Linked DNA regions of Canis lupus familiaris. The protein of the gene in region 1 purifies or fractionates together with the protein of each later gene. This does not show direct contact. Links are inferred from orthologs where the notes say so. Each region holds a gene or a part of one and is shown in the gene's direction. Other genes may lie near its edges. The genes, in order: TRAF3IP2 and IKBKB.

Region 1 (3,810 bases):
GGTCACCTGCCTGCGCACTAAAATCCTGGAGGAGACGGAAGACAGCTTCTGGAGGAGACACCCGGCCCCGGGCAAAGACCGGCCCTTTGGGGTCGGAGCGTCCCCTCCCGGGCAGCAGTTTTCATTTATGGAAGAACGGAATCGATGGCCAGGATCTCAGCTTTCAGCGGCCTCCCCTGACACTGGCCATGACTCCGACCACTCAGACCACAGTTGCCCCAGCGCCTCGGCCGGCGCCTGGCCCAGCAGCCACGACACGGTGCAGCGGCCCCGGCCCCGCAGGAGCCCAGCGGCCCGGGACCCGCCCACGGTAGACACGGGCTACGACTCCCAGCCCCAGGACGTGCTGGGCATCCGGCAGCTGGAGAGGCCCCTGCCCCTCACCTCCGTGTGTTACCCCCAGGACCTCCCCGGGCCGCTCAGGTCCCGGGAGTTCCCTCAGTTCGAACCTCAGAGGTACCCGGCGTGTGCGCAGCTGCTGCCTCCCAACCCTCCCCCGCATGCTCCGTGGAACTGTCACCACCACTGTCCCGGAGGTCCCTATCACCAGGTGCCATGTAAGTGAACGCCACCCTTCTGGACATTCCGGGCTGGGTCACTAAGGAAACCGGGGCTTCGTGTCGGTGCCAGGGCCCCAGACGGCCCAGACCGGTCGGGGCAGCGAGGCCGGCTCTGCTTCCCGGGGGCGACTGTCCCCGAGCGCCTGGACCTGCCGGGAGCCTTAGGAGGATGCTTCATCCTAGCCCAGCGCCTGCCCCACTGGGAACCTACTCTCCGTGAAACTTCCAGGGGAAACAGACCCCTCCGTCTCGGTTAGTTTAGCTGACACCTGCCTACAGGTGGGGAGACGGCCCAAGCGGCTTCTAGGGTATATTTTTGTCATCTTAATGCTTGGGCATCCGGGTTCTTCCTTCACTGCGTGCTTCTAACCTATCTGAGATTTGGCAAAGAGGCCTTCAGTCAAAATTCCCAGAATGTTCTTGATGCTCTGGATTCATGCCTTTACCTGGAGATTGAGTTGCTCCTGAGATGCTATTGCTTAAATACCTCTGGATGCTCCAGCCACCAGCCTTTACCTGACACCCTGGCCACCCCCACCCCCGAGGACCACAGTCCCCAGACCCCGGCTACCTGCTTCACACCTGCAAGTGCTCGCCCTTGCTCTTCCCTATCCAGGATGTTCTTCCCCTCCTTGCACATTTAACCCAGCTCTACGCCCCCCTTTTTTTAACAGCTTTATTGCGATCTAATTTACAAACTGTGAAGTTCGCCTTTGACCCAGTTAGGTGTACAATTCAGTGTATGCTTGCAGACCTAATCCAACCATCATCATATACACCTTGTAAGACTTCGTTCAAGGGTCCCTCTGGAAAGCTCCTCAGATCAATCCCTCCTTCAGGCTCTCAGTTTCCTGGCGCTCTACCGCTTGGAACACCTAGTATCAGTATGGCATCTAGTCATGGACTTGTCCACCTCTCCATCCAGCACATCAAGCATATCAGCAAAGGTATATTATTATTATTATTATTATTATTATTATTATTATTATTATTATTTTAGAGAGAGAGAGTGAGCACACGTGCACACGAAGTGAGGAAGGGGAGGGTGCAGAAGCAGAGGCAGAGGGAGAGAGAATCCTAAGCCAGATCCACACCCAGTCTGGAACCCAGAGCAGGTCTCAGTCTCATGACCAAGAACCAGGAGCTTAACCATTGAGCCACCCAGGTGCCCCAGCAAAGGTATATTTTTAATCCATAATTCTCCAGCATTTAGCACAGTGACCAGCATATACTAGACTCTTAGTAAATTATTTCTGGGTAAATACATTGTGTCATTGCAGTAAGCATTTCTGAAAGTGATCAAGTCTCAGATTGAGACAAAAGGTCCATTACAATTCCTTTTTTTTTTTTTAAAGGTTTTATTTATTTGACAGAGAGTGAGAGAGAGAGCGAGCACAAGCAGGCGGAGCGGCAGGCAGAGGGAGAGAGAAGCAGGTGTCCCGCTGAGCAGGGGGCCCGATGCAGGGTTTGATCCCAGGACCCTGGGACCATGACCTGAGCTGATGGAGAACACTTACCGGACTGAGCCACCCAGGTGCTCTGGTCCGTTTTTGATTTTTTTTTTTTTTTTTAATTTATGATAGACAGAGAGAGAGAGAGAGAGGCAGAGACACAGGCAGAGGGAGAAGCAGACCCCATGCAGGGAGCCCAACGTGGGACTCGATCCCGGGACTCTAGGATCGCGCCCTGGGCCAAAGGCAGGCACCAAACCGCTGAGCCACCCAGGGATCCCCATATTTTATGTTAAGTCTCCGCCGAGGCCACTGGGAAATAACAGGGCTATGAGATATGATAGTTTTCTTAACAAATAAATGTTGTACAAAAAGCAGTTCAAATGGTCAGACCAGAATCTGACCAAAGGCCTGATGCCTGGCTTTAAAATAAATTATAGAAATAACCCAAAATGCTGTAACCATCACAATTATTTACATATTGGTCCATGTACAATGCATATAGAGCTTCCTAAAGTGAATGGACCAGCAGCGTAATTCATAATTTTTTTTTAAAAAAGAGGGAGAGATTTTTGTCTTGATGTACGAAAGCTTCCGTTCTGGAGGGAGAGGTAGGCCTGGGCGGTCTGTGAGCAGATGCCATACTGACGTCAGGCGTTGTGACAGGCAGCGCACGAGGAAATGGAGCCTGAAGGAGGCATGGGTCTGGGAGCTTTCCAGAGGGACCCTGGAGCTGAGTCGTAAAGGAACTTAGAAGATAAGGTTGCAAGAAAAAAGGAGGAATGAATGTGAGGTTAAGGGTGAGGCCAGGAGCTGTGGAAGCAGCAGGGCTCAGGGAGAAGGAGCCTCTGAGGCCTAAAACCGGGACCCTGAGTCTTGGAGGTTGGGAAGTCACCAGTTGGGGGTTGTGGACACCACTGCTTGCTCTAAGTGCCCAGTAATAGGACGGGTGTGGTTGCAGAGTTCCTTAGGGATGAATCACTGAGGAGTGAACCTTGGTAGCGTCAGGGCGGATTTATTTCTCCATGATTTCCAGGTTCAAAGGGGATAATTCTGTGAGGATAATGCCATAAACTACTTTCTAACATTCTACAATCTGCATTTAAAGATCATTTTCCTGATCCGCAACAATATATGTTTGCTGGCAAAATTGAAATGTGCCTAAACGTCCCATCCCTATTTCCATCTCCTAACTATAATTCCTTATTGGGATTTGACTTAAAAAAAAAAAATATATATATATATATATATATATATATATATAAATAGATTATATGTATTTGATGTAAAGTTAAAATAATTCCCAGTGACTTTCCGTCACTTCTTCCAGCATCATTTAAAAATTCTGCGCCGTATTTTATCGGATGGATTCCATCAACTTGTTTTTGAAGCTACTCTCTGTTACTGGACAATGTAAATAGTTTCCAGTTTCTGATCCAGTAAGCAAAGCTAGGACGAACATCAGGTACATACTTTTTTATCTGCATTTCCGATTAATTCCTTAGATTAACGTGTAGAAGTCTGAATACTTAGGGCTTTGTGCTATTAAGTCCCAGGCAGTTCCCTTTATCCGCTAACAGGAGAAAGCCTCATTGTGACAGACAAAGAAAGCATTAACTCAGTATGATTTGAGGATCCCAGATAGATCTTCCCACTTGCAAATATTTTGTGTGTGTGTTGATGCCTGAAATGACACCATGAGCAGTCCAGTCTTGGGAGGTGAGCACAAATTGCCCCCTCTGGGCAGACTCTTTGAAAATGCAAACATCCCTGACTGGAGACTCTTTCAGGCTCTAATA
Region 2 (4,568 bases), on another chromosome or scaffold:
ACTACAAACCATGTCACTGTTCCTAAATTGACTTCAGCCTCAGGTTTTCTGCAGACAGGTGTTCTCTGTGTTGGGCATGGCCATTGGTGTTATTAACTCATCTGTCTAGGACAACTCTGCTGGTGTCCTCCTGTCCTCCTACTGCTCTTGGGCTAAACTAGATGAAACCACTGATGTTTGTTGCTCGTGTTTCAACTGTTTTTGTTTTACAAAAAAAAAAGGTGACTTCATTCGATTCAACCTAATACTGCCCACATTTTAAAGAAGAGAAATGGGGGCGCCTGGGTGGCTCAGTCATTAAGCATCTGTCATTGGCTCAGGTCATGATCCCAGGTCCTGGGATGGAACCCCAGGTGTGAGTGTCAGGCTCCCTGTTCAGCAAGGATCCTGCTTCTCCCTCTGCCCCTCCCACCTTGTGCTCTCTCAGTCAAATAAATAAATAAAATCTGGAAAAAAAAAAAAAAGGAAGAGAAATAGACGCTTGGAATGATTAAGTAATTGGCCCCCAAATCTCAGAGTAGTCAATAGCAGTGTGAGGATTCAAACTCCAGTTTGCCTCCTTCTGAATTTCTTAGTATGATACATTTCATCAAATATTAAGAGCTTGGACCTAAAAACCAGCCTCTTGGGTTGGACTATCAGTTCATACACTTACTAGCCTGTGACTTGGACATATTTTCCTATCTGCACATCAGTTTTATCACCTATAAAATGGGGATAGCAAGGGGATCGCTGGGTGGCTCAGCGGTTTGGGGCCTGCCTTTGGCCCAGGGCGTGATCCCGGAGACCCGGGATCGAGTCCCACGTTGGGCTCCCGGTGCATGGAGCCTGCTTCTGTCTCTGCCTGTGTGTGTGTGTGTGTGTGTGTGTGTGTCTATCATAAATAAATAAATCTTTTTTAAAAAATGGGGATAACAAGAACAAGAATCCAATCCCTCCCGATGTGGAGGGTTGCCCTGGGGATCCGCAGAAGGAATTGTAAGTACAGAGTGTGTGTAGGCAGCGCCCGGCGCTTCGGAAGCATCCTATAAAGGGGAGCTATATTCTTCAGGTTTCCTCCAATGCTACTCTTCCTGCTTGGGTCAATCTACCAACACACACCAGCTTGGTGTTAGTGCAATGCACAGAACTGAGAAACTCCACGGCACACCTCATTACCACGTCAGGCAGGTAGCAGCGGACCGGCGAACCTCTTACAACTTCCCTACATCACTGCGGCGGAAACTACGAGGTTTTCCCTCCTTTCATTTTTCGTGAAGGGGGTAGTAGAGGCTGTGGCTTCTTGGGAGTACATCCGTGACTGGTCGTGCTGGACACCGAGCCCGAGCCCGAGCGCCGAGCCCTGCGGACGGAGGACGCAGCCTGAGGAGGGGCCGGGCAGTTGTCAGCAGGCCGAAAGGAAACCCTGGCGGGCGCGGGAAATTCCAGCGAGGGAGCAGCCCAGGAAGCGGCGTCCATTACCCCCCGGAGGGTTCCCGGGAGGAAATCCCCGTCTCCCCCGTCCCAGAAACCGCCGCAGGTTCCAGTCACCGTGTACCGAGTCCGGCGCACTCGGGCTCGTCTTAGGGCCCCAGGGGCACCGCCTGTCCGGGTGCGGGGGAGCCCGCTGGAAGCCGCGCGCCGCGCCGGCGGGTCACCGCGGCGACGACCCCCCGGGCCCCCTGTGGCGCCGCGGCTCCTTTAAGGGCGCGCGGCCCACGTGCCCCGTGACGTCAGAGCAGGAAGTGTTTGAGGAAGTGGCGCTGCGCTGGCCCGTTTGAGATTCCCGCATTTTAATGTCTTCGGGGAGGCGCCAGAGCCCCCGGTTTGGCCGCCCTAGCCCCCGCCTCCCCGGTCCTGGGGAGCGGCTGCCCCGCCCCGCGCCCCTGCCGACAGGTGAGTCCCTCGGGCGGCCGCGGGCCAGGTGCCGCCGGCAGACCCCGCGCCCCTCGGCGCCCGCGAGCCCGCCCCCTCCTCCCTGAGGCTCCCGGAGACCCTGGGGTCGGGCTGAGAAGTCGGGTTCTCCGGGCGGACCGCGGGAGCCGGGGTGACTCCGGGGGCCGCCTGGAGGCGGGGGCTCTGGGACCGTGTGAGGACACACGTGACCGGAGAGCGTGCCCCGGCCACCCAGGGCAGAGCGCGCGGGACAGGGCGCCCTCGCTGCGGTCCGGGGGATGCCCTTTGCGGGCCTCCGAGGGACTGTCCTCCCCGCCTCCTTCCCTTACGGCTGAGCGGGGTGGGGGTGGGGGGGTGACAAAAGTTGGCTACCCAAACCCAAAACCAAACCAGACAGCCTGGTTCATTTATAAAGTGAAAACCAGCTCCTCTCTCGCACCGAAGGGCAATGTTGTCTCTTAGCTTCTCCGTCTGCTTGAGTTCCATTTTCTCTTAACCTTGATCTTTTGTCCCCTACACCAAATTGTTTACAGAGTTAGCGCGGCAGCAGCATGAGCTGGTCACCTTCTCTGCCAACCCAAACATGTGGGGCCTGGGAGATGAAAGAACGACTTGGGACAGGGGGATTTGGAAACGTGATCCGCTGGCACAATCAGGTAGGGGCGCTGTGCACCTGGGCTGAGCCAGAGGCCGGGAAGACAGGCTCCTGGGAACTGCCTCCGCCCTACACTGTGCTGGGTGGGGGACGGGGTTCGTCCTTGGCCCTGGGCTTCTTGGGGGAGTGAGAAACGGGAACCGTCAGGGGGCTTCCGAGCTGCTCAGCTGCCTCTAAGTGGTCTCCAAGCTTTACTGACTATGGCCCCCAAATTGTAAAAATATTTTAACTTTTATATATCTTAAACTAGTATCTTTATTATCATCACGCTATCATGTACTAATATATTGTGTATTAATATTGAAATACAAAAATTGAAAAATTTAAAGAATGAGCATCGTAAAATATATTTAAGTGTTTAAAGAATTAGCTCAAAAATATTTTATTTATTTATTTATTTTTTTTAATTTATTTTTATTTTTTATTTATTTATGATAGTCACACACACACAGACAGAGAGAGAGAGAGAGAGAGAGGCAGAGACACAGGCAGAGGGAGAAGCAGGCTCCATGCACCGGGAGCCCGACGTGGGATTTGATCCCGGGTCTCCAGGGTTGCGCCCTGGGCCAAAGGCAGGCGCTAAACCACTGCGCCACCCAGGGATCCCCAAAAATATTTTAAATACATACTAATTATGTGTTCCCACTATTGTTTGCAATACTGCACAGCACAGACTATACAGATCCATAATGAAACAGAGAATTATCAAGGACAGTGGGTGAAAATCCGTATTTCAAATAATTTTTATAATTTGGAATTATTTGGACCTATTTCTGACTGATTAGATCCTGATTGTTTTTACTCTTTATGTGTCTGAAATAAGTTTAGTTTCTCACAATAGAAGTGTTCCTCCATATTCCTTTTTGCTTATGCTGGTGTTACATGTACTGAAGTCCTCTGCAGAAATTTCTTTAGCCACTTGTCCATTTTGTGAGAGTCATTTTATTGACCTCAGATACTACGATCCATAATCCACCTAAGCAGGGGCACATGTAACCTGAAACATGTCTCCATAGGCCCCTGTCCACCACTCCCTGTGGAATGCCCATTTTCCTCAGTATACCTTGGGTCCACGAGATATATGATCTTTGAAAAATAATCTGAGGAAGATTTCATAAAGTTAATATCAAAAAAGCTTAATTTCTATTTAATTGTTTTGGATTCCAGTCTTGGGTAACCCTGGTGCACATCTACCCCATTTGGAGACCACTGCTCTAGGGAACCCCCAGTCACTGAGTAACTGAAGTTGGCTTCCTGACTCCAAAATCAGACCCCCGAAGTCCTTGAAGGAAGCACTTGCTTTTTGATCAGGGGCTGCTGAGCACTTTTTTGGACTGAAAGGAAGTGTACCACTTCTTGGGAGCCAGCTGCAGCAGCCAGCGAGAGAGTCATCAAGGCTACTGGCCAGCCACATCAGAGAGTCATTCCAGACAGCCACGCTCCTTTATCAGTTAGTTGGAAGACATTCTAGGCCCTGCCCTGAGTCCTGTCAGCTCTGAGTAGATGGAACGACCCCTGGAGGAGTGGGAGCCAGAGCTGGAGGGCACAGTCCAGTTCCGGAGGTGGTAATTCCCACATTGAACTGGGAAACCAGAATTCCTTTCAGCCACAGCTGGAATTCCTTTGAGCCACAGCTGGCTCAAATGTGTTCTGGTCCGAGTAGAGCTGTGGGCCTCACATTACAACATAAGAGCCAGATCATTCTATGGCCCCACATATACCTGGGCTGGGCTGCTTCTAGATAGGCCACAGCTTTTAGATTCTTGACTGCAGCAAATATCTCAGCAGCTGAAGTAGAGATGGTTTTCCTCAAAAGGAGTTCTGTCCAGGTGTGCCATGTGTCTGTCATTTCTAGCTCAGAATGGCCTCTATGAATTTGGAAAGCTATTGTCAGATGGAATTTGTTCCTGGCTTTATAGATATGGGCCTGAAAAAAATGTGTGTGTGTGTTTGTGTGTATGGATTAGTCTTCTAGAATTACTACTTTCAAGTTCCCCTATTCGAAAACCAGTAGCCTTCATTTTTATTTTATTTTTAA

What was found.
Region 2: the proteins of TRAF3IP2 (region 1) and IKBKB purify together in Homo sapiens (affinity purification with western blotting; 3 studies listed by BioGRID, with this or other methods). This does not show direct contact. The link is inferred for Canis lupus familiaris from reciprocal best matches to the Homo sapiens genes TRAF3IP2 and IKBKB.

Annotation. Positions count from the first base shown.
Region 1 is NC_049233.1:68,460,201-68,464,010, reverse strand, and holds part of TRAF3IP2 (E3 ubiquitin ligase TRAF3IP2), read left to right. Parts: coding exon 1-557; intron 558-565; exon of another isoform or gene 566-812; intron 813-1,234; exon of another isoform or gene 1,235-1,302; coding exon of another isoform or gene 1,303-1,507; intron 1,508-3,810. UniProt on the Homo sapiens protein: E3 ubiquitin ligase that catalyzes 'Lys-63'-linked polyubiquitination of target protein, enhancing protein-protein interaction and cell signaling. Transfers ubiquitin from E2 ubiquitin-conjugating enzyme UBE2V1-UBE2N to substrate protein.
Region 2 is NC_049237.1:24,149,830-24,154,397, reverse strand, and holds the start of IKBKB (inhibitor of nuclear factor kappa-B kinase subunit beta), read left to right. Parts: upstream 1-1,703; 5' UTR 1,704-1,875; intron 1,876-2,408; 5' UTR 2,409-2,426; coding exon 2,427-2,531; intron 2,532-4,568.